4 separate regions of the Mus musculus genome follow, and regions 1, 2 and 3 are each reported to be linked to region 4. The links are microRNA targets in miRTarBase. Many come from high-throughput screens and were not tested one by one. Region 4 holds a microRNA gene; each other region holds the end of a gene's coding sequence.
The links. Region 4 holds the annotated microRNA mmu-miR-378a-3p (ACUGGACUUGGAGUCAGAAGG, at 3,091-3,111, opposite strand). A microRNA usually pairs through its seed, bases 2 to 8, with sites in the 3' UTR of a target mRNA and lowers its output. Matches are read on the target gene's strand: a 7mer-m8 pairs with bases 2 to 8, a 7mer-A1 pairs with bases 2 to 7 and ends in A, and an 8mer does both.

Region 1 (7,119 bases), not on the chromosome of region 4:
GAGGAGTGGGCAAAAGAAAGAGGAGGAGACAACTCTTTAGAGAAATGCCCGGTGGCTGATTCTAGAAAAGGCAGGAACGTATACAAGAAGCCAGTGCCAGGAGGGAAGGAAGTGGCCAAAACCATGGGGGCATGTCAAAGACCACAAGAGCCAGCTCAAAGCAGCCCTGGCCACAATTGGGTCTCTCTGAACCTCAAAATAAAAAACAACACCAAATGGATTATAATCTACCAAAAATAAAGATGTTATGAATCCATTCTGTTGCCAGGAAATAAATAATAGAGCCGGCTATCCCTTCCAGTAAATGCCAAGGCATGGTGAATGAGAGAGTCAAAGGAGCCTGTGACTCCCATTATGTGGTACATTATGGCATGCACCATGGCCATAATGGATTTAGGAGAAAGTATCAATGAAGGTTAAAGTCTGATGAGGGATTTTTCAAAACGTTTCCCCACGTGTCACCCACTAAGCTCAGAGGGGACAAGAATGGCTGATGGTGAAAGAGCCCTGAGGAGTCCGCCCATTATACACAGGGCTCAACGGGGGCATCAACATTTCAGAGACAGATGGACACTGCGTTGAAGGCACCATGCCAGGTCAGTTCACCCTGATAGCAAGGACGCCCAGTACAGCCTCATCCATGGTGGGCACAAAGGGTCAGGGCGGTGGGTGCTGTCTTAGCCACAGATGTCAGCAGACGAGTGACCAAACATGGTGCTGTGACTCTGGGCAGACAGCAGAGCAGCTGTAGATGGCATCCAGATAGCCAGGGGAAGCTCGCCGTGGCCCGCATCTCATGCGAGAGCTGCCTCGGGAGGCTATGTGCTTGTTTGCTATCTGTGGCTGTCTGGGAGACTGTCTTGTTAGACAGCACTGAAATGTCTAGGTGGAAAACAGTCTGGTGTGGAGTCATGTGCCTGTGACAGCCTCCAAGACTCAGGGGAGTGGGCAGGGGAGAGGAAGAAAGGAGAAGAAAGCAGAGGGGAAGAAACAGGTGAGCTTGAACTCCTGATTCCATTGCTTCTACTGCCTAAGTCCTGGGAGGGACTCCAGGTGTGTGCTACCATTGCCCAGCTCTTATGGGAACTTTAAATATTCTTTCATTTCTGAACTTTTCTCCCTACAACCTGAAGCTAGAAACGATGAGAAATGTGAGGAGCCCACACCTCCCAGAGAGAACTTAGCCCAACAGGGGCTAAAGGGAAAGCCTGCTTGCTTGTTCTACCCACCTGGACTGTATTATCAAGGGAAAAATAAACAAACTGTATAGTTTCACCAACTTAGCTGACAAACATTGCTAACTTTGGGAGCCAAGGTCTCACACTGGTTTGCAACATTGCTAGTCTCCAACTAACTTTGCAGTAGGTATCTCCTCTGATGTTTGCCTAAGTTTCTATCCAGATCTTGAAGGCTGCCTTTGCTGTTGAAAACACCTTACTCCTGGGCTTGCAGGTGAGTGACAGATGAACCAAAACAAGAACCCCAGTATTTGTCTTCATACTGTATCTGTCCTCTTTTCAGCTCTGGGTGTAAATCACTGAGAACTGTTTTATCTAAAGCTCTAACAGAGCTTCTTTGACCTAAATTTGCCTTGTCTCTCTTTTCCCACTTTAAGGCTAAAGACACCCACCAGCTCCCATGACCACAAACATCAGACTAGGAAATTAAAGCAGCAGCAAGGTTCCTGGAGCCTCCCAACCTGTTTCTCATTGCTCTCCTTTATAGCCCTTCTCTCTCCATTTCTGCTGTGGATCTGTAACCCTTCCACCCCTGGAGCTGAGGAAAACTCCCACTTCATTCTTTGGTCACTGGCAAGTCTTTCTTCTCCCTAGTAATGGATTCTTGGGCACTGGTTTTCATGTGGAATATGCTCTGTGTACAGACGGGGCCGCATGACCCTGGTAACTCCTCCTGGTCTGTCCTAACACTGAGGACGGGGAAAGACAAAGGGACCGTGCTTCACACCAGACTCGCTGTTCTCACCAAGACTTGACAGAACTGCTTGCACGGTACGCAATTTCTATACGCTTTAAAGACAGTTTCCAAAGACACGTGGCTTTGTTTGGGAGGGACTTCTCTTCCGGTTTCCCGTCAGTGTTGACTTTTGGCTAATGAATCTGTACATCATCCCTGCCTCACCTGCAAACTGGTAGAAGCTTAAGAGAAGTTTTGATGTTGAAAGATTTGACTGTGTACTTCACCAAACTAGGGAAGGGTATTAAAGAGGAAAACTGTCGATAAAAGCAGGAGAAACATTTAATGAAATCCAGCAGTGGATTTAAAACTGGAAAGAATATTCCCTTAACCCAACTAAGCCATCTATTAGGAAACAGCAACTGTAGGTGTTAGAGCTTCTCCTCGATGGCAGGAAAGAGAGATGGCGAAGTACTATGCCACCTGTAATCATTTCTACTCCGTATCAGAGCGTGTGCATATTGGAACACGTGAAACACAATCGTTACTATTACAGCTGATCCAAGTATTATAGGACAATTTACAGATCAGAGTGCAAGTTCAGCAAAGTTGCTAGATGATACATATAACATCAGTTAGCAAAGCCAACGTAGAGAGAAGCAGGAGACGAGCCTGTATAAATGAGAACACGTGGGTTTTCAGAAGGTGTCCTTTACTACAGGTACAAAATCAAGGTTGGGACTAAGCGTAAGTTGTACATCAGACTCACTGTTCTCACCAAGATTTGATAGAATTGCTTGCATGATACACATTTTCTATCTATGCATACGTAAGTTGTCTATTACAAAATGCGAGATATAGCACAATTATTTCTTTATAAACATGTAATAAAAATACATAGCTATGGCTTATTCAGAGATGCACGGGACCCAGCATCATAAATAATCCTCAACAAGTCTGCTCATTCATTGTAGTCACAAAATCCCAATGTGACAAGATGATCTAATATATCCAAGATATAACAAAGATCCAAGAGTTGCTCTACAATTTTTGACAGTCAATTAGAAACCTACATGATTAAAAATGGTTTATTGGTAAAGATGAATGGACAAAGTTAACAAAATATAGAGTTCAGGCACATTTCCATGATTATATGGACATGGGACATAATGGTGGATTGGTGGCTTTATAAATGTATAAATCAGGAAGGAGAGAATGATCTACAGTTTTCAAATGTTAGGAAAATATCTATTTCTGTATAATTACATTTAGTCATTTACCTTATTGCTGACAAAATACCCAGACAAAAGAACCTAAGGAAAGAAGGGTTCATTTTTGGCTCACATTACAGGTGACACAGTCTGTCATAGCAGCCATCAGGAGGTCCAAAAGGGCATCATGAGCTAGGAACCACATGTTCAAAGACGTGAGTCTACAGGTGGGACACTTCCCATCCAAACCACATTGTAACTAACAAGGCCATTCACAAGATTGCATCATGACCATAGGATATTAAAAAACTGAATGTAGCAGCTTTGAATGTAAACGCTTCCAGTGATAAGCAACACAGAGGTGACACAGGAATGAGTCAAGCATCTCCACTTTTTTTTTTATGTGAAAGTAAAAGATCCTTTAAAATCCTAAACAAAAATTCTGTAAAACATCTAGAACGAAGCTAATATAAAACTGAACCCTTATGAGGAATGTTACCCAAGCAATAAAATTAGGCCTCTCATAATACTAATGGGAAAATTATATTAATTATAAAGAAGTCTATTATCTTCCAATTAATGGGCAAACTAATGCAATCCCGGCCAAAAGAGCAACACTTCAGTGGAATCTAATAAGCTAATTCTATCATTTGCTTGGAACAGGAAATGCACAAAAATAAGACACAGAGGACGAGATAAAAAGGAAAATGGACTTTCCCACAGGTGACAAACGTCAGCGTGCAGAGTGTGAGGGAACAGACAGACACGGGGTCTGACGTCAGCCTTGCAGTGCACTACGATGAGTCGAAGCTGGCATTTGGAGTGGTGGCGGATGATGGACTAGCCCAGAATGGCTTTTTGTTCTTGCCTCTTTCATAACTGTCTTTCATTTATACTGAGGAAACTAGGTGAATATGGTATTCTGTCTGGTGTTAAATCAGGGAAATTCAAATTAAAGTAAGGTTATTTTATGAAACAAGACTAATTTTAAAACAATGTACCAAGATGGAAACTAGTTGCTGTGGGCAAGCCTGAGGAAAGTGAGCCTGTGATGGGTTTGGAGATCAGCAGGTCAGCGAAAGCAGAGGTACATAAGTGAAAAGACCTGCATAGTGCGAACGTGAGATACACAGGAAACTTACAGCATTAGTGTGTTACATACATTACACCAATTAGATGTTAAAACAGTATTAAATAACACTTCATTTATTTCACTCCAAAGTATCTGGTCAAAGATAGCTGTTCTTGACTAGTAGACCATCCACCCTCTCCTGAAATGCCAGGAGACGCCTGAGGCTCTCACAGACATCCTGACCAGCAAGCCAGGGAACTTTCAGGGGCATGCACACCATGCCTCTGTGTAAGCTTCAAGCTAGAAGTCTTCCATCTCACTGCCTGGAACTGTCATGGGGCCACACCTGCAGGGAGGCTGAGAAACAATTTTCAGCTGGGCAGTCATGAGTCCAGGGGAAACACAGAGGAGGAGTAACCCATGCCAGGAGCCATGCCAATGCCTGGGCAACTGCACAGAGCTCTGGAATGCACAGGATAGGGAGGCAGGAGTGCTTGAAGGATTTCTAACAGTGACAATACAGGAAAAACCAGTATTTTTAAATCTTTTATTTGTAATTATTTAATATGTTTAATACATTAAATCTATTTATACCGCACAAAGTATTTAAAGTTCAAAGAAATCAGATTGCAGCTCAATGTATAAAGGTGTGTATTGTTAAAAAGTACTTTAACCTGGAGAACTGGTCTCTAAGCTTCTCCCAGCTTGGCTGGATAACCATGTTTACAGATTCAACCTTCCCAGGCTGGGCAGGTCAGTGGCAGAGGTGGAACACGGATCCCTTCCTGACCGCGTGGTAGGTAACTTTCGACAGTTAAAGACTGTCTATACAGCCGGGCGTGGTGGCGCACGCCTTTAGTCCCAGCACTCGGGAGGCAGAGGCAGGCGGATTTCTGAGTTTGAGGCCAGCCTGGTCTACAAAGTGAGTTCCAGGACAGCCTGGACTATACAGAGAAACCCTGTCTCGAAAAAAAAAAACAAAAAAAGTGTCTATACGACATTCTCTAGCTCAGTATAACTTAGATCTCAGACATCACAGGCACAGCACAAATGTTTCATGTTAGTGAGTCAGGTTGGTAGTCAGCCTAAGGACAAGGGCAATAGCATTTCCTGTAGGCTGATCACTGGAACAAAAAATAAATAAACGAACGGGTGTTGTGACTTCCTTCTGAGCCAAGTACTAAAGTTTAGAACTGACTGACCTATTTAAACAAACCCCATCCGCCATCTTTAGATAATGATGACAGAGAAGAAAAACCAGACTTCCTACTTTGACACGTATGTATGAACTGGGAAGGAACTTGGTGGTAAAGCACATACTGAGCATGTGCAAGGCACCAGAGTCTGTCTTCAGCAACATTTAAAACAAACAAACAAACAAACAACAAAACCCAAGCCTGCTAATCTAAAAGTGCTATGAAGAATTATTTATATGTAATTAATGATTTGACAGATAGCAAGTGTCTTTCTGTATGTAACCAGTGGGTCAGAAAACCCATGCTGTATCAAGGTACCAAGATTATCGGATACTGTGAAGTGACTTATAAGATGGGGTGGATAAAGAGAAGACATATGCCCAGCACCAGTAAGAAGAACCGAGATGTATTCTTAAATACTGTGTGCTCCCTGACAACATCTTTTGGGTTAAGTAACGTATTTGCTCCATTAAACAACTGTTAGGTCCCTGGTTTTATAACTTAATTCACAGTGCCACCAAACAAACAAAACAAAAACCCTCCAATTATTTTCTTCTTCAAGTTTTAGTCTTGAGGTAGATGACATAGTAAATACCAAGTACAGTCACTCATGCACACGCGCGCGCGCGCGCGCGCACACACACACACACACACACACACACACCCCACGAACACTAATCACAGGCTCGGGGAGCCAAGCTTTCCATCTGAAAGAGTTTAGAGAGCATCACTGTTAGCAGTATTCTGGCTTCAGCTTCCAAATCCCTTCCCCACCAGGAGTTCTATGGAAATTGCACAGATTTCTCAGCAGTTCTCGGAAGACACAGGACTGTGCCACGGACAGCTTGGACTCAAACTCCTGCAGGATTTCCTGAGTGCTGGCCTGGCCATCCACCTGGGCCTGGAAAGCAATGAAGTTCCTCATGTCCACCAGAAGGTCGTCGTGTTCGGTGCCGCAGGGAGGCACGGCAGCAGCCTCAGCAAGATGTTCACTGTCACTCTCTAAGCGCTCCGGCAAAATCATGTGGTTTCTTGCTCGCATTCTGGCCAAGAGGGAGGAGGAACTGGGCGCTCCAGACACAGATGCTCCATCTTCTTTGCCACTGAAGTGCTCAGGGGTGTGAGCTTTTCCCTCCTTTTTCATGTTGTTCTAGAGAAAGAAGACTACACGTCAACAGACAGACTTCCAGATTAGTCCACTACTTCCCCAAAGGCTGTGAGGACCCTCAGGATAACTGAACTGCCATGTGTATGGTGAGATGCGGGAGAGGGCATGGTCGCCATCCGAGGCCAAGGTAGAGATGTGGATGTGAATCTACCCATTTATAATGGGCACCTCCTAAAGAAATAAGCAGGGAGAAGAGAACGAAGCCGTCTCCTGGATCCGAGTATGAGAGCAGGGAGCAGAGGGAGACCGTGCCTGTAGGCAGTGCCTGGGCCACGGGATAAGGAGCAGCTGTCTCAGCCTTCTTCCTTTCCCACTCTGTATCACATGTGCTTCCTTAAACCAACAGACCTAACCTGGAAAGCACCTTAGACTCCTGCTGCTGAAAGCAGGAACTCGGCAGACTGGAAAGTGTCTGTTCTCAAAGGAGTTCACATGGAGCTAAAACTGGAGCCTTAACCTGGGTGTCTTCACGCGTGAGCTTTCACACATCCTTAGTCAGAAAGACAGAGTGCTGTTTGCCCAACACTCAAGAAGGCTCTCTGGCCATTTAGTTTAGAG
Region 2 (7,119 bases), not on the chromosome of region 4:
GCATATAAAATCAGAATCCTATGGACTAGCCTACAGAGCCATGTAAAAAGTTCAGATGGGGGATGCTGAGAAAACCAAATCATAGACCTAAAAGAACCACATGCATATGTAATACAGAGTGAGCCTGCTCTCACATCCTGTTCTTCAGTTTATCAGCACCTCCTCCAGCTGCTACAGCCATTTTGCTAGCATATTTAATGAGCAAAACATTATTCCTCAGTAAGTTTGGATTCCGCTTGGAATTGTTTTTCACGGCATAGTCATGGAATTGAGCTAGAGTTTGGTGTGTCCAGTCTCACTGCTTAAACTCTAGCCCCTGCAGTTTTTTTTTTTTTTCTCACCTAACGTTCTAGATAGTTCATTCAGAATTAAAATGGGGTCATGTCAGTCCTTTCCTCGGAATTTTTATGGGAAGTACTTTCTGCTTTACTTTCTTATATATCATTCTTCATCACATAGAAATATCTAAACATCCCTCCCAGCAACCCCCCTCTGATTTCATGTCCATGGTCTCTCTCCCTGCATTTTATTTACTTTTTTGTAGACAGGGCCTCAGACCTTGGATTATAGGCATGTACCACCACACCCAACCTTCCCTTCTTGCTGGATCAAGTGTGTCAACTCCTTAACCCCAGCCAGTGCTTTATCACCCCACCTCTGAAAATTAATGATTTGATTTTCTTTGTCTCTAGTTTTTGACCAGTTGGATGTTGTTTCCTATGAGGAAGTTGTTCGGCTCCCTGCATTCAAGAGGAAGACCTTGGTGTTGATCGGTATCTTTTTACTGCTCCTCACCAATTTGCTAATTCAAGAGCACAATTCTGTCTTTATTTCCAATCCCATGTTATATGTCTACCCTTCTTCAGGAAAGGCAGTAAGGAAGATATGTAGTGTGGTCTCTTAGATACCTCACATAGCAGTTATAAAGAACTTCTGGATCCTACAAGTAATCTATCTGGATCCACTTCATACTACACGGTTTTCTACTGTTTTTAGCACATAATTCTTTTATATTAAGTTTGCTCTTTGTCTACCTGTTTGGATGGCTTAGGGAATAAAAAGAAAACTCCCCAGTAGCTAATTCCTCTGAAGAAATAGCAATTATGTTCCATATCTTAACTCTTAGGCCTTAGAATGACTTCCCACTCAAATGGATACTACGGAATTGAAGCTATTTGGTGACCCCAAATCTTGACAATTGTAATGACTCAGTTGCAGCCTTGTTACAACACCGAACTGTTTGAGCACTGGGATATAGAAATCCACCTCCCATTCCTTGTCTTATCCCCAGCAGTGTTTCTGAGTGAAAGTGATGGAAGCCTTTCTTTATCCTCACACAGGAGCCAGTGGGGTGGGTCGTAGCCATATTAAGAATGGTCTGCTCAGTCACAATCCAGAGAAGTTTGCGTACCCTGCCCCATGTAAGTATTTCTCAGGAGCCTAAGGGTCAGGCAGAAATGTCCTGTTACAAAATTTAGAATCAGTGTTTTTCTGAAATGTCACATGTTTTTGTTCTTGTTATTTTATTTCATATATTTAATCATGAAAACTGAAAATTTGGGGGGTTGGGGAGATAACTCTGTCAGTAAAGTTCTCGGAAAGTATGACGTCCTGATTTCAGTCTTTGGAATCCACATTGAAGAGCAAAGGAAGGGAGGGAGGGAGGAAGGGAGGGAGGGAGGGAGGGAGAGAAAGAGGGAGTAGGAGGGAGAAGGAAAGGGAAAGGGAGAGGGGGAAGGAAGGAAAAATCACACATAAAACACAAAATATTTGGAAATGTAATATATACTTATAGGGCTGAGGAGATGGCTGCTAACCCTAACAATATGAATTTAACCCTCAGAACCACATGGTAGTAGAACTGACTCCCACTGGTTGACCCCTGACTTTCATATGCACATCATGGCACTGGCACACACCCACACACACACACACACACACACACACACACACACACACCCTTGCCAGGGTTTTCAATGTGCAAGTTGAGGGAAAGAAGTCATTTTAGAGACAAGTGTCTGGCGTGGAAGGTAAAGATGGTTCATCATAGGATAAAAAGAGGCTGGGAATATATAATTTATCTCTGCACTAGAGTGTTACTCTTAACATTTTAACTTTTTTAAAGAATTATTTATTACTCAGTATTATTATACAGTATTATTATGCAGTGTGTGTACTCATGCCACAGCATGTGTGTGTGTGCACTCATTTTATAGCATGTGTATGGAAGTCAGAATACAATTTATAGGAGTCAGTCCTTTCCTTCCACCACATGGTTTCAGGTTCTCAGGTTATGAGCCTTCTGTGGCAAATGCTGAAAAATTGCCAGCCCCAACATTTTAACTTTTTAACAAAATGTTTAAACAAAACCATTGTGTTCTTTCCATGTCATAAAAACAAAACAGTGCTGGAGAGATGGGTAGGTGGGGGTATTGTATCTGTACTACCTTCCAGTACCAATCCTTCAGTTCATGAGAAAAACATCTCTATTATATTATCTGCCCCAAAGATGGGTAGAGTTTCCATATAGACATTTTGAGTCAGTACACTAAAAGATAGCAAGGACCAAGAAGAGCTCATCAAGGATTTGAGTTCTTATACACAGATACAACACGGCCACCAAAGAAGAGTGAGGAAGATGGGAAGGAGTATCATTTCATCTCAACAGAGGAGATGACGAAGAACATCTCTGCCAATGAGTTCTTGGAGTTTGGCAGCTATCAGGGCAACATGTTTGGCACCAAATTTGAAACAGTGCACCAGATTCATAAGCAGGACAAGATTGCCATCCTTGACATTGAGCCCCAGGTATGTAGGCATAAAAGGGCAGGAACAATGGTTTCAGCCATGTAATGAGGGACGTGAGCTCCTGGAAATCTTGCTTCCTAAAGTTTTAGTGGGGTCAGCATGATACAAATTGGTATTGGGATTTAACACTTATTAGAAGGAATACATTCTGACAGACAACTGGGTTGTTTGTTTCTCCTTTTCTTCCCTTTTCCTAGACCCTAAAGACTGTTCGGACAGCTGAGCTTTCACCTTTCATTGTGTTCATCGCACCTACTGACCAGGGCACTCAGGTGGGAAAGGGGTCACATGGGTGGAGGTCCACACCTTTTAGGTCATTGTCAACTGTTTTTTCCAAGGCCAAGAAGACAAAGGGCATGCATATTTTATTCATTCCAGAGTTATTCAAGAGATTAGTTATTAAATAATTCAATTCTAGTCATAGTCCTGAATGAACAGTTCTAATGGCTGAGACGGACAGTTAAATAAATCCTATTTCTTATATGATATATACTGATGTGAAGCAAACAGAAGGAGCTGTGAAGGATGGAGGTGGTACTAGATCCATCACAGGGTGCAGTGTGGCTACAGTGGGAAAGGAGCCTGCTTGTAAAAGTGGCTGTTTCCTCTTTAACATCATTCATAACATTTTTAAAAGAATTGGTTAACATTTTAGAAGAATGGCATTTTCACTTTGTTTTACTATAAAAGATTGTTTCTTACTATTGAGAGTCAATCACTGCAATTGGGAGGTGAAAGGAAGAGGATCAGGAGCTCAAGGCCAGTCTGGAGTTCAAAGGCAGTCGAGTCAATAAGACTGCCACACACACTTATTAAAAGTTATTTGTATTGCTTGTATATCTGGCCATATCCTTAGCTCATGTTTCCATTGAGTTAGTGACTTCATCTAAGAATTCTATATTATGGTACTTCCCTGTAATGAAAGTTACAAATATCCCCACCACCACTATGACACATATTTCTCTATCCTTTTGCCTTTATGTAGTTAACTGACCATTGGAGCCAGAGGCTTGAGACTTGTCAATAAACTTTCTCCCTTATCCTTGGATTATAGCTGTAGTAGTTGCTAAAATGGCTTTTCCATAAACAAAGGGCTAAAACTAAGTGAATGCTAGTGAAGGCTGTGCTAGGTAATTAGGGTTAGTTTGGCATTCATTAGAATAGTTAAGTGGTTCTCAACCCCTTTGGCAAACATTATATTCTTAATTGGTTACCTAGCAGATACTAGGCCACAGGATGGATCACCACCATGCAAAAAAACAGATGGGGAACCAGTTAATGTAAACTTGTTTAAATCTTCCCTTTGCTGCTGTGATTAAAGACTGCTGCTTCATCTATGGCTTTCTTCTTTGCAGACTGAAGCCCTGCAGCAGCTGCAGAAGGACTCTGAGGCCATCCGTAGTCAGTATGCTCATTACTTTGACCTCTCTTTGGTGAATAATAGTGTTGATGAAACTCTTAAGAAATTGCAAGAAGCCTTTGACCAGGCTTGCAGTTCTCCACAGTGGGTGCCTGTCTCCTGGGTTTACTAAGCTTACAGAATTGGCAAACATGTTTCAGCCAGCATTTGGAATGCCACCTCCCCGCACCCCCTCCCTTGCTTAAGCCAAAAGGGTTGCTTCAACTTTTAGCTCTGCTGTTTTCTTACTCAGGCTCCTAAAGGGGTGAAGCTTTCCTACTATCTACATTTCAAAATGATCTCTGGAAAATTGCCATAAGAATAACCAAATGCAATGCTACATAGATAAACCAACTGTCCCCCTGAAGCCTGAGCTCCTTTGCTTTCAACTATAGAATGTCTTTTTACTCTGGAATAAATATCTTCTGAAAACTTTCTAAAATGCCAAAATCAAACAGCTGTGCAATAGAATGTCTGCTGTAGGGAAAATCTTCCAAAGCAATAAAAATGCTGCTGTGTTAAAGTACCCGTGACCCTGTAACTCCATTCCCAATCTTAACCTTCCAAGCAATGACATTAACATAAGATCTCTGGGAATTACCTGTCACTGCCTCTATAGGTCTGGTATTCACAATGCACAAAGGCGTCTTCTCTAGGACTTGTTAAGTCGTAAGAGAATGGTTTAAAACATGTTACAAAAGCAGGGGCTGTTTGGGCATTCTATACCTGCCTATGCTATTAACAATTTCCCCTAAAACTTGTGTTTATATTCTTGGTTTTGGGCACATATTTAAGCAAAGTTCCCTGCTCCCTCTGCAGTCAACACCAAAACTGGCAGTTTCCTACCTGGAGTACCTCCAACCTCTTCACAAGCCCAGTACAATATAAATGCATCTACCCCTTTCCTCTTAACCCTGGATTAGTAATGATCTCCCTTGAGAGCAGATAGGCCCCAGTGCCAATGTAAGAAAGACTCAGAATTAGGAAATTTAAAAGTAGCCAAAGGAAAAGCAAATTCAAAATAGGACATAAACCTCAGACTTTTAATAAAAATATTCTCTCACTTTTGTTGCCAGTCCAAGATTATCATAGTAAATCTAACAGGAATACTTTTTAAAAAAAAAAAAACTACAAATTACATTCTTCAGCAATGAACAATTCCATTCTGAACAATTCCATTCTTTTTTTTTTCTTTTTTTGTTTTTTTGTTTTTTTTTTTGTTTTTTTTGTTTTTTGGTTTTTTTGTTTTGTTTTTTGTTTTTTTGGTTTTTTTTTTTTCGAGACAGGGTTTCTCTGTATAGCCTGGACTGTCCTGGAACTCACTCTGTAGACCAGGCTGGCTTTGAACTCAGAAATCCACCTGCCTCTGCCTCCCAAGTGCTGGGATTAAAGGCATGCGCCACCACGCCCGGCAATTCCATTCTTTAAAAGAAAACAAATAGGAAGGTACAGGAATGCTTTGGCTTCCATAAGAAACACAAGTAGCCATATAGAGAAATCCTGTTGTACACAAAAATACAGAGTACTAGCCTAAATATCATAGATACCACCAGGCAAGGTTAATACCTGAATAGAGCAGTCCTCATAGAACACTGGAGATAAGAGTCCCCCAGTGAACATAGTTCAATTACATTTTTTCTCTCACAGAAGGTTCTATACCATTTTATGTAGCAGATTTAATTTTTACCAACTTTTTAAAAAGCAAAGTAGGAGAGGACTATCTATGGCATTGTTGAAAATGCTCATTAGTAAATAGCTGCAGATAGTTACTAGGCCATGCCATGTCTAAAGGTGTGGCTTCCTCAAGCAAGCAGAGGGGTTGGTGGCAAAGGCCTGATTTTATCTCTCATATCCTTAAAACAGGACAGGATGGGATGAGATGGCCACACCAGCTAACCACTGAGGTCACAAGTGGCAGCTAAAAGTATACCAGAACTTTCTACTCTGGGACCTCTGTTCTCCCTCAACAAAAAGTTTTTCCAATAAGGCTTTTCTTTTTCTTCCCAGCTGGACATAATGCTTCCAGAAGTGGCTTAAACTATTCAGACATCTCTTCTACCACTTTTACTTTCTTCTTCTTTTTCTTTTTGGTGGTGTCGTTGTCCTAAAGAAAGAGAAAGTAAAAGTAAGTTCAATGTACCCACTGACAAAACATTTATGACTACTGTTCCCAAAAGAAATCTGACAAATTGCACAGTCAAGTCTGTTCAAAAATCTAAGACATTTGGGGTTAAACAAATTTTGCCTGTGACCTTCTCGGTGAAGTCTTAGAGAGATCTACTTAATACACCTTCCCTACCCAGCAGCAACATAATTCAACCATGATCCACTGTTCTGAAAGGCTGGGTGCCCCTACTTCTGTGTCCAAGAAGGTAGACAAGGCAAATCTAGAACACAGGGCAGCACCAAAAAAGGCAATGGTAGGAACCCCACTCTCGCACAATTCCTGTCAAAGACTCAGCTGACACAAAGGCACACCCATGGTTCACACATACCCCATCTCCAGTTTCGCCCCCACTTTCTAGCACAGTTTTGGGCTTCTTATCCTTCTTCTTCTTCTTTTCCTTCAACTGGGGAACTGTTGGGGTCTCATCACTTTCACTCTCACTATCCCGCTTCCTCTGTGTAAAAAAAATTCACATGAAGTTAGAAATGTAGGAAGTTACCAAGAAAGATTCCACGTATATTCAATGGTTTTGTGTCTATAAACTTGAATAGTGTCTGATTTTCTAAAGATTTGAAGACAGTATCTCACTAAATAAAAAATATAGTAAGCCATGGGGCATGATGAATGTGCCAAAGCAGCGTTGCGTATAAAAGACCCTGAGAAATTGTCTCAGTGAGCCAACTCCAAGACTTAAGGTGCTCTTTGACAACTTGCAAGTTCCACCCATATAGCTCATTACTAGTCA
Region 3 (7,119 bases), not on the chromosome of region 4:
AGTTAGACTTAGTTGGTTGGCCTGAAAAGACCCAGAAATCTCCCTTTCTCTGCCTCCCAAGTACTGAGATTACAAGTGTGTGCCGCCATGCCCAGCCTCCTTACATGGGGTCTCAGGGGTTGAATTTAGGTCCTTAAGCTTGCAAGACAAAGTCCTTACTAACTGAGCCATATCCTCAGCCCAATGTTTTGTTCTTCTTGGAGTACTTTTGTCTGCTTTAGAAAATTGTCTCCGGTCAACAGCAGGGAGCGTTGGGCTGGGCAGCTGGGAAGTGAGCACACAGGCATGTAAGGGTGATGCATCTGCCATCGTAGTAGAGGTGAGCTAGGGTCTTTAGCCTCTTGGCCCTTGGCCTATTGCTCTAACCTGCCCCTGGGACAAGAGGCAAACTGCAAAGACACCCTGTCTCCAAGATCCCCAGACTCACCCTCCCATCCTGTGCTTCACAGATTCTTCCCACGGAAGCCACGGGACCCACGTCAACGTCACCTGCATCGTGAACGTCTGTAGCAGCTCTGACCACAGTTCTCAGTGCTCTTCCCAAGCCAGCGCCACAGTGGGAGACCCAGATGCCAAGCCCTCAGCGTCCCCAAAGGATGAGCAGGTCCCCTTCTCTCAGGAGGAGTGTCCGTCTCAGTCCCCGTGTGAGACTACAGAGACACTGCAGAGCCATGAGAAGCCCTTGCCCCTTGGTGTGCCGGATATGGGCATGAAGCCCAGCCAAGCTGGCTGGTTTGATCAGATTGCAGTCAAAGTGGCCTGACCCCTGACAGGGGTAACACCCTGCAAAGGGACCCCCGAGACCCTGAACCCATGGAACTTCATGACTTTTGCTGGATCCATTTCCCTTAGTGGCTTCCAGAGCCCCAGTTGCAGGTCAAGTGAGGGCTGAGACAGCTAGAGTGGTCAAAAACTGCCATGGTGTTTTATGGGGGCAGTCCCAGGAAGTTGTTGCTCTTCCATGACCCCTCTGGATCTCCTGGGCTCTTGCCTGATTCTTGCTTCTGAGAGGCCCCAGTATTTTTTCCTTCTAAGGAGCTAACATCCTCTTCCATGAATAGCACAGCTCTTCAGCCTGAATGCTGACACTGCAGGGCGGTTCCAGCAAGTAGGAGCAAGTGGTGGCCTGGTAGGGCACAGAGGCCCTTCAGGTTAGTGCTAAACTCTTAGGAAGTACCCTCTCCAAGCCCACCGAAATTCTTTTGATGCAAGAATCAGAGGCCCCATCAGGCAGAGTTGCTCTGTTATAGGATGGTAGGGCTGTAACTCAGTGGTCCAGTGTGCTTTTAGCATGCCCTGGGTTTGATCCTCAGCAACACATGCAAAACGTAAGTAGACAGCAGACAGCAGACAGCACAGCCAGCCCCCTGTGTGGTTTGCAGCCTCTGCCTTTGACTTTTACTCTGGTGGGCACACAGAGGGCTGGAGCTCCTCCTCCTGACCTTCTAATGAGCCCTTCCAAGGCCACGCCTTCCTTCAGGGAATCTCAGGGACTGTAGAGTTCCCAGGCCCCTGCAGCCACCTGTCTCTTCCTACCTCAGCCTGGAGCACTCCCTCTAACTCCCCAACGGCTTGGTACTGTACTTGCTGTGACCCCAAGTGCATGTCCGGGTTAGGCACTGTGAGTTGGAACAGCTGATGACATCGGTTGAAAGGCCCACCCGGAAACAGCTGAAGCCAGCTCTTTTGCCAAAGGATTCATGCCGGTTTTCTAATCAACCTGCTCCCCTAGCATGCCTGGAAGGAAAGGGTTCAGGAGACTCCTCAAGAAGCAAGTTCAGTCTCAGGTGCTTGGATGCCATGCTCACCGATTCCACTGGATATGAACTTGGCAGAGGAGCCTAGTTGTTGCCATGGAGACTTAAAGAGCTCAGCACTCTGGAATCAAGATACTGGACACTTGGGGCCGACTTGTTAAGGCTCTGCAGCATCAGACTGTAGAGGGGAAGGAACACGTCTGCCCCCTGGTGGCCCGTCCTGGGATGACCTCGGGCCTCCTAGGCAACAAAAGAATGAATTGGAAAGGACTGTTCCTGGGTGTGGCCTCAGCTCCTGTGCTTGTGTGGATCCCTAAAGGGTGTGCTAAGGAGCAATTGCACTGTGTGCTGGACAGAATTCCTGCTTATAAATGCTTTTTGTTGTTGTTTTGTACACTGAGCCCTGGCTGAGCCACCCCACCCCACCTCCCATCCCACCTTTACAGCCACTCTTGCAGAGAACCTGGCTGTCTCCCACTTGTAGCCTGTGGATGCTGAGGAAACACCCAGCCAAGTAGACTCCAGGCTTGCCCCTATCTCCTGCTCTGAGTCTGGCCTCCTCATTGTGTTGTGGGAAGGAGACGGGTTCTGTCATCTCGGAAGCCCACACCGTGGATGTGAACAATGGCTGTACTAGCTTAGACCAGCTTAGGGCTCTGCAATCAGAGGAGGGGGAGCAGGGAACAATTTGAGTGCTGACCTATAACACATTCCTAAAGGATGGGCAGTCCAGAATCTCCCTCCTTCAGTGTGTGTGTGTGTGTGTGTGTGTGTGTGTGTGTGTGTGTGTCCATGTTTGCATGTATGTGTGTGCCAGTGTGTGGAGGCCAGAGGTTGGCTTTGGGTGTGTTTGATCACTCTCAGTTACTGAGGCAGGGCTCTCATCTGTACCCAGAGCTTGCACATTTTCTAGTCTAACTTGCTTCAGGGATCTCTGTCTGCCTATGGAGTGCTCAGGTTACAGGCAGGCTGCCATACCTGCCCGACATTTACATGAATACTAGAGATCTGAATTCTGGTCCTCACACTTGTATACCTGCATTTTATCCACTAAGACATCTCTCCAAGGGCTCCCCCTTCCTATTTAATAAGTTAGTTTTGAACTGGCAAGATGGCTCAGTGGGTAAGGCAGTTTGCGGACAAACCTGATGACCTGAGTTGGATCCCTGACCATAAGGTAGAAGAGACCTGATTCCTGCAAGTTGTCCTCTGACCACCACCCCATACATGCTTCTGCATATGTGCACACATCACATTCTTGCACACACACTCACATACCATAAATGTAATAAATTTTTTTAAATAAATTGATTTTATCTTTTAATCATTATTTTTGCTTATCTGTTTGTTCATACATGGAGTTTTGCTGTATACCCAGTCTGGCTGCATCCTCCAGGCACCTTGAACTTGGATATTCTCCTGCCTCAGTTTCGAGAGTGCTGAGTTATAGGCATGTGCAACCGTGTCAGGACCCTTGGCGTTACATTATGTTTTCGAATCTTATTTTTCCATCTAAGACTGACAACCACCTTGCCAAAGGATGACCTTGACTTTTGTATCCTCTTGCCTCTACTTCCCAAGTATTGGGATGACAAGTCTGTCCATCCTATGATTTGTGTGGTGCTGGGGCTTGAACCCAGGGGCCTCGTGAATGCTAGGCAAACGCAATCAGCTGCCCAACCCCGAACTTCACTTTTCACCTGTGATTTCTTAACATGGTTCCTGAGCAGACAGCATGATCCTGTTGCCTTGAGGAGCTCTGCTCGTTGCTTTGACAATGCTCTATTTACTAAAGAATACTTATAGAGTTCAAGACTCCAAAGCAGCAGTTCCCAACCTGTGGGTATGACCTCTTGGGTATCCCATATCAGATATTTACATTAAACTTATAACAGAAGCAAAATTACAGTTATGGGGTAGCAACAAAATAATTTTTTTTTGAGGCAGGGTTTATCTGTGTAGCTCACTTTGTACAGACTAGGCTGGCCTTGAACTTAAAGATCTGCCTGCCTCTGCCTTCTGAATGCTGGGATTAAATGTGTGTGCCAACATGCCCAGTGCAGTGAAATAATTTTATTGTTGGGTCACCAAAACATGAGAAAGAGTATTAAAAGGTCATAGCGTTAGGAAGGTTGAGAACCACTGCCCCAAAAGATAGTAGAAATAGGTAATAGCATTTTAAAAAAAGATTAATTTCTTTTTCCGTGTGTGTGTGTGTGTGTGTGTGTGTGTGTGTGTGTGTGTGTGTGTGTGTGTGTGAAGGGTGCTGAATTCCCTAAATCTGGGATTACAGACAATTGTGCCAAATGGGTATTGGGAACCAAAGTTGGGTTTTCTGAAAGAGCAGCAAGTGCCCTTAACTGCTGAGCCCTCTCTCTAGCTATAATAAACTTTTTTTTAAAAAAATTAAAAAAATTTAGCACTCTGCCAGGTGTGGTAAACGTCTTCAATCCCAGCACTTAGAAAGCAGAGGCAGCTGGATCTCGGTGGTTTAGAGGCCAGACTTGTCTCACAGTGAGTTCCAGGCCAGCCAAGACTACATAGTGAGTCCCTGACTTCAAATACATATAGCATTCTTGAGGCCAGAGAGCAGGCTTGGAGGATAAAGGGCCTTTCTGTTGAGGTTGGCAGCCTTTGTTTGGTCTCATGTCCCACATGATGGAAGGACAGAGCTGACTGACCTTCACTCATACACTCAACACACATACATAATAAACATAATTAATTTATTTAAAAAAAATATGTAGTATCCTTGGCTCAAACTGGAGCTCTTTTGGTAAAGTGTTTGTCTAGCATGCCCAAGGCAGTGGGTTCAATCCCCACCACTGCATTTACTGGGTAGCCTGTAATTCCAGCACTAGGAGGCAGAGGCAAAACAATCGAAAGTCAGTCATCCTTGGTTACAGGCCAGTTCAGAGACAGCTCGGGGTACCTGAGAACTTGCCTCTGAAAGGAGGAGGAGGAAGAGAGAAGGAGAAAAGAAGAAGAAGAAGAAGAAGAAAAAGACAACACTAACATTGGTTTTGTTGTTGTTGTTCTGTTTGGTCTTTTTTTTTGTTTTGGTTTTGTTTTGGTTTTTTGAGACAGGGTTTCTCTGTGTAGCCGTGGCTGTCCTGGAGCTCACTCCGTAGACCAGGCTGGCCTCAGACTCAGAAATCCTCCTGCCTCTGCCCGCTAAGTGCTGGGATTAAAGGCATGTGCCACCACTGCCCGGCTAGCATTGTTCTTTTGAGGAGACCTTTTATAGATCATCTGAGAGTTAGTGTAAGCTTTGTTTTAGAACATTGCAACATTGTATTAAAGCCGGACTCACAGATATTTAAGTGTTGCCTTAGTTACTTTCCTCTTTACAATGAGGAAATACACAACAAAAGCAACCTAAGGAAGAAAGCATTTTAGGTTTTGGTTTTGGCTTTGGTGTTGGCTTTTCAGCCCCTAGTTTGAGAGTCCAGGCCATCATGGAGGGGAAGACAGGCAGCAGGTGGCTGGCCACAACACATCCGGAGTCAGGAAGCAGAGGGGCAAATCCTGCTCAGCTTACTTTTTTTTTTCCATTTTGTTTAGTCTGTGACCCTAGGGCTTAGAGCAGTAGTTCTCAACCTGTGGGTCTCGACCCCCTTAGGAGTCTAATATGAGTTGTCCTGCATATCAGATGTTTACATCATGATTCATAATGGTAGCAACATTACAGTTATAAAGTAGCAACAAAATAATTTTAGGGCTGGGGGAGGGGTGTCACATAAAGGGCTGTGGCATTAGAAAAGTTAAGAATCACTGCCTTGCCAGGCATGGTGGCACATGCCTTTAATCCCAGCACTTGGGAGGCAGAGGCAGGCGAATTTCTGAGTTCAAGTCCAGCCTGGTCTACAGAGTGAATTCCAGGACAGCCAGGACTACACAGAGAAACCCTGTCCCAAAACCCAAAAAACAAAAAACAAAACAAAACAAAACAAAAACCACTGCCTTAGAGGGTGAGACTTCCCTTCTCTGTTAAAAACCCTAGAAGTTTCCTTTCACGGCTGCTCTGAACAGTCAAGTTTGACTGTGAAAGTTAACTGCAGAACCTCTCATTTCCTTTGATTTGCAGATATTATGCAAAAAGAAAAAAAAAGCTCATGAACTTTTTTGTTGGGGTTGGGGGTTAAGACAGGCTCTCACTTAGGGCGGGCGTGGTGGCTCATGCCTTTAATCCCAGCACTCGGGAGGCAGAGGCAGGTGGATTTCTGAGTTCAAGGCCAGCCTGGTCTACGAAGTGAGTTCCAGGACAGCCAGGACAATACAGAGAAACCCTGTCTCAAAAAAAAAAAAAAAAAAAAAAAAAAAAAAAAAAAAAAAACAACAAAACAAAACAAAAAGACAGGGTCTCACTATGTAATCTGGGTTGGCCTGAAACTCACTAAGTACACAAGGTTGGCCTCAAACTCAGAGATCTGAATGCTTCAGCCTCCAAAGGGCTGCCATAAAAGGCATGTGCCACCATACTCAGAACTTCATGAATTCTTTGTTGAAACTCTGGCACTGAGCATTGAAAAACCAAGAGTGTGGGTGTAGCTTGATTGCAGAGCACTTGTCTACATTCTTGGGGGGGGGGGAGGAAAGAAAGAAAGAGAGAAAGAGAGAGAGAAAGAGAGGAAGAGAGAAAGAGAGAGAGAAAGGGAAAAGAAATTATGACTCAATCATTGATATGATTTTTGAGACACAGTCTCATCCTCAGGATCACAGAGTAGCTAGACAGGCTAGCTCAGTCATCCCAAGGGAGTCAAAGCTCGTGAACCGCACAGCTAGTGAGGAACATGACCCCACAGCCTGCTCAGTGTGCCTTGTGAATCTAGCCCAGAGCATTTTTAAAGTACACCTCACAGCAAGCTACCTATTCTAGTAGAGGGACTCCATTTAAAAGAAGCACTTGGTAGGGGGCGGGACTTGAGAGTTACTTCATCCCTTAGGAGCACGGCTGTTTTTCCAGAGCACTGGGGTTCGAAATTTGATACCCACATGGTGGCTCAGAATCATCTGTAACTCCAGTTCCTGAAAATCTGATGCTATTGTGCAGCATTCCCCCCCCCCCTTCATTATTTTGTCAGGATATTTTATCAGAGCAACGGAAAAGAAAGCAAGACAAGCAAAAGTGCTGGAAGCATCCTGGGCTGGGCTCCTTCTCAAAAAGGTTCATGTTCCTGCCAGAGGTATGTCCACTGCCAGTAGCTAAAGTCACCTCTTATTGGTAATATATTCCACCCCGTGAACATGTGTGGTGACTCATAGCCACCTGTTACTCAGGTTCCAGGGGATATGCCACCCTCTTCTGGTCTCCAAGGGCACTGTGTGTGTGCTGTCCACATACATGCAGGCAAACATTCAT
Region 4 (7,119 bases):
AGACCATGAAACCTTTAGGACTGTAAAACAATACCTAGGTCATACGGATCTTTGTGAGGAAGAACTGTAATGGTGCCAACTGATGGCTCGGCAAAGACCATGTGACCAGGAGGGCACTCTATAAATGCTGCTGCTTAGGAAGGGAAGACAGCTGTTAGCACTGCAATGCTCTTGTCATGACCTCACTTCCAAGCCTGAGGCCCCATCTGCGGGGCGGCTTCTGGCTCAAGCCAGTGCTCCATCTAAATGAGAGGGAAGGAAAAGGGTGACTCATAGCCTAGTGTAGTGTAGTTCCTGGCTGACCGGCACCAGTTGGAGAGAGGAGGCCCCAAGGCCAGGGGGAAACACGAGCCCCAGGTGCCCAACTGCTAGGCTGGATTTCTTAGCCATGCTTACCCACCAGCATCAGCCAGAGGGTCCAAAGAAAGTGGGGCTCGGGCCTCTGGGGAGCATGCCCCCAGATGTACTCAGATGAAGAAGTTACCCTGCTCCCAGTCCATGCAGGCCAAAGGTGGGCAAATGCATCTGCCTCCACACAGCTGCAACTCTGACTTGGACAGCAGCTGGCCCTGGCTTCAGTGGCAGTGGAGGTTGAATTATACCAGACCCATCAAGGAGCACTGGGACTTCAAGTCGTTTCTCCAGTCCTCCCTGTGCCCAGGACCCCTCAGTGTGCTCAGGTCCCTCTTAACAAAGATCCATCTGCCAAGTAGAACCCAAAGATCCATCTGCCAAGTAGGACCATGGTACTGTACGGAACCAGCAGGGAGTGATTGTCCATGGGAAGGGATTGAGCATGGGGTGCAGAGGGTGTTGGCATGGTTACAACTCAGACCCATAGGAAAATGGCAAAGCACCCTGCACCGCTCCACCCCCATCAGTGGGGGGCTCTGAAGCATGGCAAAGCCTTCCTGGGGGTCCAAGTGTGAATGTTGACAATGAGGCCAGAAAACGTCCACCCTTAGTCGTCTTCCCTTAGATACTACAGTCTGAAGACTGTTCCCCAAGGAAGATGGCTCCTACCAAAGGTAGCTAAACCTGGCCCCTTGATACAGAAACAGACCATAAATCCCACCTCCTTAATTCGGCTGTATGCAATAAATGCCACCTCACTATACCACAGTATATAATACACTCTGAGCATCTGAGAGTTTCTCCATCAGAGAGCCCCATCCAGCGGATCCCAGTCATTTCTGTGTCTCCATGTGTCCCTCTTCATTCCCTCACTGCCCTAGTCAGGTTAAGTCCCTGGAGCCATGCAAGGGGGCAGCCACTGAACATCAAAGAAACGCACATGAACGGCAAGAGTAACAAAGTATATTGTTGACCAAATTCGTAGAATACAAATGGCATGAATAACTGGGGTATGGCCAGCCAGGCGTTTCCACACAATGCTGATGAGTGTGTAAATGAATGCAATCTCTCTAGAAGACGATTTCCTTATGTGTTTACCAAATGCCTGCGTGGTTCCTTTGACAGAGCAATTTCCCTTCTAGGAATATAAATGAAGGAAAGAACACATGTACACAAATATATTTGTTTCGGCGTTGCTCACAGTAGGATAAACGCAAGCAACCAAGCGACAGCAGAGGATTGATTGACACATGTTGGCTCAACGTCCCATGAAATACTATACAGCCATTAAGATATTAGGCACAATATTTATTGATGAGGAAAGATGTTCACAGCATATTGTGAGGAGGAGAAAAAAAAAAAGCAAGTTACAAAACAGTGTGCTTGCAAGATACAAATTAGTATAACAGAATAACTTCATTTATCATTTTCTTCTCCCCCCACCCCCCAAAATAACTGGTCTATATGAATAGGAAAGAAAAAAAACATCTAGAGATACATAGACTTTAAAGCAGCTATCTTTGGATAATATTACATATTTCTGGACTGGTGAGAGGCCTCAGCAGGCAAAGGCTGACCACCTGAGTTCAATCTCCATGTCCCATTTTGTGGAAGAGAACAAAGTTCTGCACCTCATGGCGTCGTCCTCTGACCTCCACACACATGCCAGAGCACACACATGCAAACACACATACAAAATTAGCTAATTTAGACAAATGTAAAATATAAAACATGACTCCCTTTTCATGACACTTAGCAGTGTTTTCTAACACTGTTAAAATTATTTTTAAATAAGGGTTGGACTTGCTGATTTATAATGTCCTTGTCGTCTCTGACACTGTCACAGTTCTTCCAGGCTCTCAAGTGACTTCAAATAATTCCTTTATTTGCTGGGCTTCCTGCATGGCCTTTGGAGTCAAGGCTTTTGCTAGCAGCTGTAGCCCTCGACAATGCCCCCTCTCCCATGTTCACTACCCAGCTGTCTTCTCTGTCAGCCCATGAGCTTGTCTGGCAAGGCTCAGCTGTACCCCTATTTGTAGTCCATGTACCTCATCAAGAGCCAGGCAAAGGGGCATTGCTCAGCATGGTGACAGGTGCCATGTGGGCACACAAAGATAAAAGACTCAACTTGGATCCTACTGGATAGACTCAAACACATAAAGTGCTTGGCTTTATAACGAACTATGAAAGGCAGAAGAGAGAGCAGGGCAAGCTGGCAGGAAGGCCTACTAAGGGAGAAAGCCATGCGGGATGGTAGGCAAAGGCCCACTAAGCAAGGGGTACAGCTGGAACAAAAGCGAAGTCAGCACAGAGTCTTTGGAACCCAATCTTCAAACATTTCCAAAACGCTTCCACAAGCCTGGTTCTGATAAATGGCTACTTTGGCCCCAACGAATAAACGTTAAGTCTCTCAAACAGATCTCTATAATCTAAGCCTGGGTTAGCCACCAAAGACAAGAAGAACTCTTTGGGGGAACAGAGACAATCCACTTTCCCCAACCCTCCCGAGGGGGAGAGCTGGGGGGAGGGGAGGGTCTGGGAAGGGCTGTGGGGAAGAAGCTGGACAGCCAGACAGCTCACATGCAAACACAGGCTCACCCCCACCAGCAGGCCTCTGGCTTCTCCGTCAGCACCACACCGGCCCCATTGGACAGATGGAGAAACACGGCTGGAGAGTTAAAATGGCTTGCTCCAGGATCACCCAGCCAGAGAGCGGGGAAGGTGACTCCACTCAGGCCTTCTGACTCCAAGTCCAGTGCTATTTCGAGGTAACACACAGGACCTGGAGTCAGGAGCCCTGGGTGGCTCTGTCACCCCCTGGCTGAGTGGTCGTGGACAAGCAGTTCACCCCTCGCAGCCTCTTCCCCAACTGTAAAATGAGGCGGCGGGCTGCCCCGCCCATTCCCGCTCAGCTCTGAGCCTTCTAGGGGCGGCTGCAAAGCTCCTGGTATCAATTACATTTCCCAAGTTGGCCCGGCAAAGATCACCCGGAGATCTTCGGCCTATCACGTGATTAAGTTAAAAGGGGGTGGGGTGGGGGGGAACAAACGTCCCAAATTAACTTTCACTGCACTGCTTCTGCTGACAACTGATTACCCAATTTTCCAGATTCCTTTGGTGAAGCTAGGAAATTACCCTACTGAGTGGGATAGGCTGGTGGCTAAAAGGGCAAACAGTTAATTAATTATCGGTGAGCCAAACACCAAAAGCTAGAGTTAAAGTCGAGGGTCCTGTCCAGAGCAGACAATCTTGGTATGTGTGAAGGAGTCTCACTGGCTATTTTGGGCTACTCGGTTCTTAAGTGTAGAGATATGGACACGACTCCAGGCAATCGAGATCTGGGGTGCAGGTCTTCTCCCGGACCCCCATGCCCCTACCACCTCCAGCCCTGGTTCCACGCTGTCCACCCCCGGGGTGCTAAGGCCCGCCTTGGGCAGACATAAACACCGGGCGTGTGACCGTGCCCGGCGACGCTGCCCGGCGCTCCACTGCAGTTTCGTCAGAGGTAAAGGTACGCGCCCGGCGCGCGCGGCGTGTGCACAGGCTCAGGGGACACACACACACACACACACACACACACACACACCCGCGCACAGCCCGCTCATTAACACCGCCTCCCGACCTGAAGAAGCGCGATCACCCGCCACCATCCCCTTGGGCCTCTGCTATGAACCCACCCGAGAGCGCGCCAGCCACACACCACGCGGCCCCCGCGGCTCCGGGACGCCACGGCGTTTGCAGAGAGCTATGGCCCGCCGTCTCCCGCGCGTGGCGGGCTTCCTCTCGGCGACACCCCCGCAACGACGCCTGTCCTAGTCGCCAGCTTCAATTCGCCACCGGGAGGTTTCCCGGAGCAGAACGTCTCTCGGCCGCTGCGTCCCCCCTCCAAGTCGCGTCTCACCGCAAGGAGTCAGCTTGCAAGCCTCTCCCCGCCCACCCGGTCCCATGACAGCTGCTACCGCCCAAAGACTGGTAGATTCTAACCAGAAGCAAAGTTTCCCTCTCTCCTCCCACCTCCCGCCCCCCCCCTCCGCCTTCCCCTCCCTCCCAGTGTTATGCAAAACGGGCCGGCACAAACGCTTCCACACCAGGTACTCAGCTTGTCCCCGCGAGTCCCACGGGTTTCCGCCTTGCAGCCCCTCTCCGGACCCAGGCGTGTCCCCGCATCCGGGGTCTCCTCCCAGGCTCCGTCGCACCCCCAGCCTCTGGGGAGACACACAGACAGGAGCTGGGAGCAAAAGCCCTAACTCGGGAGCCAAACTTTAGGCTTGCAACAGGCACGGGCTAGAGGGGGAAACGGAGGAAGAGGTGAGGGCCCCCACGCTGCGTGCACACATGTTCCCGCAACTGCTTGTCCTAGCAGCAAACCCCATTTTATTCTCCAAGCCCACAGCTTCCTCGTCCTCGCTCCCGAACACCAGAGCACACACTCCTGTCATGCGCTTGTAGCCGGTGTGGCTCCCAGCCTTAGCCAGAGCCCGGGACGCCGCCTCACCTTCCCTTCCCCCTGCATCGTGGAGCGCGCGCCGGGAACGCGCGCCGCAGGGGGACCCAGGCACCCCCTAGATAGTCCTTCCGCCCGGATCCTGCCTTCCTCGCTCCTAACGGGTCTCCTCCGGTTAGTGAGAGCTGGAAGACGCAATCTCCGCCCGCATGTCCACGTGCCCTGCCGACCCCTATTCCCCTAGCCAGCAACTGACAGGAAACTCTGCGCTGCCGGAGCAGGTGGGGGGCTATGGGGTACCCGATGCTGGAGAACCAGGGGACTCCAGGGCTACCGATCGCCTCCCTTAGCCCCGCCACAAGTGCACGTGAAAGTACGGCAGCAAGTGCCAGGCGCCGAGGACGCGCCTACAACACCCAGAGCCAGCCTTTAGGGATCCCCCGACCCTGGCTGGATTCTACCTGCGGGAGGAATTGTAGTACCCCTCAACTTTGCCAGTGGGGGACAGTAGACTCTAGGTGGCCCTGGCTGTGTCCCCCAATGCTACAGCATGCGCCGGCGACCTGCAGCTCGCTACGCCTGTAACGGAGCGCAGCACAAGGCACGTGGAAGGGGGGGCTCTGCAGCCTGAACCCCCCGATCACCCCGGTGCGCCCACCGCTGCGCTCGTTCCCTCTGCAGCTGCGGCTGCAGCCCCGCGGTTCTGCACCCACGTCCCCGGCCTGCGTTCCCTGCTGGCAGTACCTGCGTGTCAGAGAGATAGTTGAGGAAGAAGGACGAGAGCTCTTCATCCAGCAGCGCGCCGCAGTCGTTCCCCGCCATCTTCCAGCCGCGGCTGCAGCGTGCGGCGGAGTCAGCGCCGAGCCCGCCCGGGGGAGGGAGCGAGCGAGCGAGCAAGCGAGCGAGGAGGAGGGAGGAGGCTGCCCGGCGGGCGGGTGGAGGGCGGAGCTCGGGCCCCCGGCTGCGGCAGGCGGGCTGGCTGCGGGGGCGGGGCCGCGCGAGCCTGGGGTCGCACCCCCGGCTTTTCCTGCTCCTAGTCTAGCGCAGGGACCAGGTCTCGCAGCCCCCCGCAGGGGAAAAAAAAAAAGCTCCGGCAGCCAGGTGGCGGTGCCCGGGCCAGCAGCCGGGTGCCTGCGCAGCAATGCGGGCACCCCCTCCTTACTGTTAGAGCGAATCACGTTGCGTTAGCGCTGGGCGGGCCCTTGCCAGACAACCTGCTTCTACACAGCTGGGGAAACTGAGGCTCCGGGAGGCTTAGAGCCGCTTTTAAAGCCGCAGTGCTCTGCAACAGCAAAAGAGAAAGCTGCGGAGACCTCAGTTCTCTCTCTCTCTCTCTCCCCAGACAGCAAGGCCAGAGAGGGAGGGAGACACGCACAGGTCAAAGGCGGAGAAATCAGAGAAGGCTCCTCAGAGGGGGTGACAGTCATATGTTTTCTTTGTAGCATTTTTATCCTCATTTCCTGTTAAGCCATCTCTCTCCCCCGGGCTTACTCAATAGCCACCGTTGAAAAAAAATTCAATCATGTCTTTTACTGTACCCCAGTGTTTAGAATTGGCTAAGCTTCTGTCAGCCTCTCGGGCCCATTGGCCTCCCTTTTCTTATTATGAACCTTCTGAAAAGGGGCTGCTACACCAATCAGCCATCCACCAAAAAAAATGGTATCTTTAGGGCATCCTTACCCACCAACCTTGTAAGTACCAACCCATGTGTTGCTCTCCTACCTCAAGCCTATGCGCTACCCTTTCCTTAGAAGTGTCTCAGCCTCCCTTGTACCTTGGCTTAGAGGAAGACTCCATCTGAGTCACTCTGTCCTTGCTAGAGTCTAAGACGCATGGAACCAGGCTTAAATCTTGCTTTGGCTATTTCTCCAGTTTACCAGAGGTAGTTAATAAACAGTGTGTTAACTGAAAAGGCTGGACGGTTTCGCCTCCCCGCCGCCACCACCATCACTCTACACAGATGAGGGAGCTGAAGGTCAGGAGTGCAGACCAGGAGAGTCCTGAACCGCGGCCAGGAAGCAAACCTTCTGACTTCAACCTTGAACTCTCATCTCTTCTCCGTTTGCCAGGCAGGCATCTAGGTGTGTGCACGGGGGCGGGGGATGTACTGGGGCTGGATAAAGACTGGAAGGCAGGAAGACGCAGACCTATTTAATGGGCACACCTGCCTCCCGCCCTGCTCCCACAAGGTACTGACAAGGGCTGCCCCACCCTGCCTGGGCGAGCAGGCTCCTTCCAGAGAGAAGAGGAAGCAGTCCCAGCACACCTGCTCAGACTTGAGCCACTAGGCAACAGCTTCCTTCTTCTCCAGTCTGAGGTTC

Region 1: the mRNA of Ercc6 is a reported target of mmu-miR-378a-3p. Seed matches in the 3' UTR shown: 7mer-m8 at 5,137-5,143.
Region 2: the mRNA of Dkc1 is a reported target of mmu-miR-378a-3p. Seed matches in the 3' UTR shown: 7mer-m8 at 5,510-5,516.
Region 3: miRTarBase lists Tnfrsf1b as a target of mmu-miR-378a-3p. Seed matches in the 3' UTR shown: 8mer at 2,484-2,491.

Annotation. Positions count from the first base shown.
Region 1 is chr14:32,576,110-32,583,228 of GRCm38, reverse strand. It overlaps Ercc6 (excision repair cross-complementing rodent repair deficiency, complementation group 6), which reads right to left. Exons shown (of 21, transcript NM_001081221.2): 21 at 2,239-6,543. The coding sequence ends at 6,127. Among named protein-coding and RNA genes, the nearest start is that of Prrxl1, 20 kb to the left of the region's middle.
Region 2 is chrX:75,107,888-75,115,006 of GRCm38, reverse strand. Dkc1 (dyskeratosis congenita 1, dyskerin) reads right to left here. Exons shown (of 15, transcript NM_001030307.2): 14 at 6,703-6,828; 15 at 5,231-6,311. The coding sequence ends at 6,246. It overlaps Mpp1 (membrane protein, palmitoylated), which reads left to right. Exons shown (of 12, transcript NM_008621.3): 8 at 693-773; 9 at 1,341-1,421; 10 at 2,606-2,808; 11 at 3,006-3,080; 12 at 4,164-5,274. The coding sequence ends at 4,340. Among named protein-coding and RNA genes, the nearest start is that of Gm25520, 10 kb to the right of the region's middle.
Region 3 is chr4:145,209,431-145,216,549 of GRCm38, reverse strand. Tnfrsf1b (tumor necrosis factor receptor superfamily, member 1b) reads left to right here. Exons shown (of 10, transcript NM_011610.3): 10 at 450-4,182. The coding sequence ends at 763. Among named protein-coding and RNA genes, the nearest start is that of Vps13d, 18 kb to the right of the region's middle.
Region 4 is chr18:61,394,748-61,401,866 of GRCm38, forward strand. It overlaps Mir378a (microRNA 378a), which reads right to left and starts at 3,153; the gene lies at 3,088-3,153. It overlaps Ppargc1b (peroxisome proliferative activated receptor, gamma, coactivator 1 beta), which reads right to left and starts at 5,665. Exons shown (of 12, transcript NM_133249.3): 1 at 5,543-5,665. The coding sequence starts at 5,620. It overlaps Gm52354 (a long non-coding RNA gene), which reads left to right and starts at 4,412. Exons shown (of 2, transcript XR_003952648.1): 1 at 4,412-4,445; 2 at 4,741-6,710.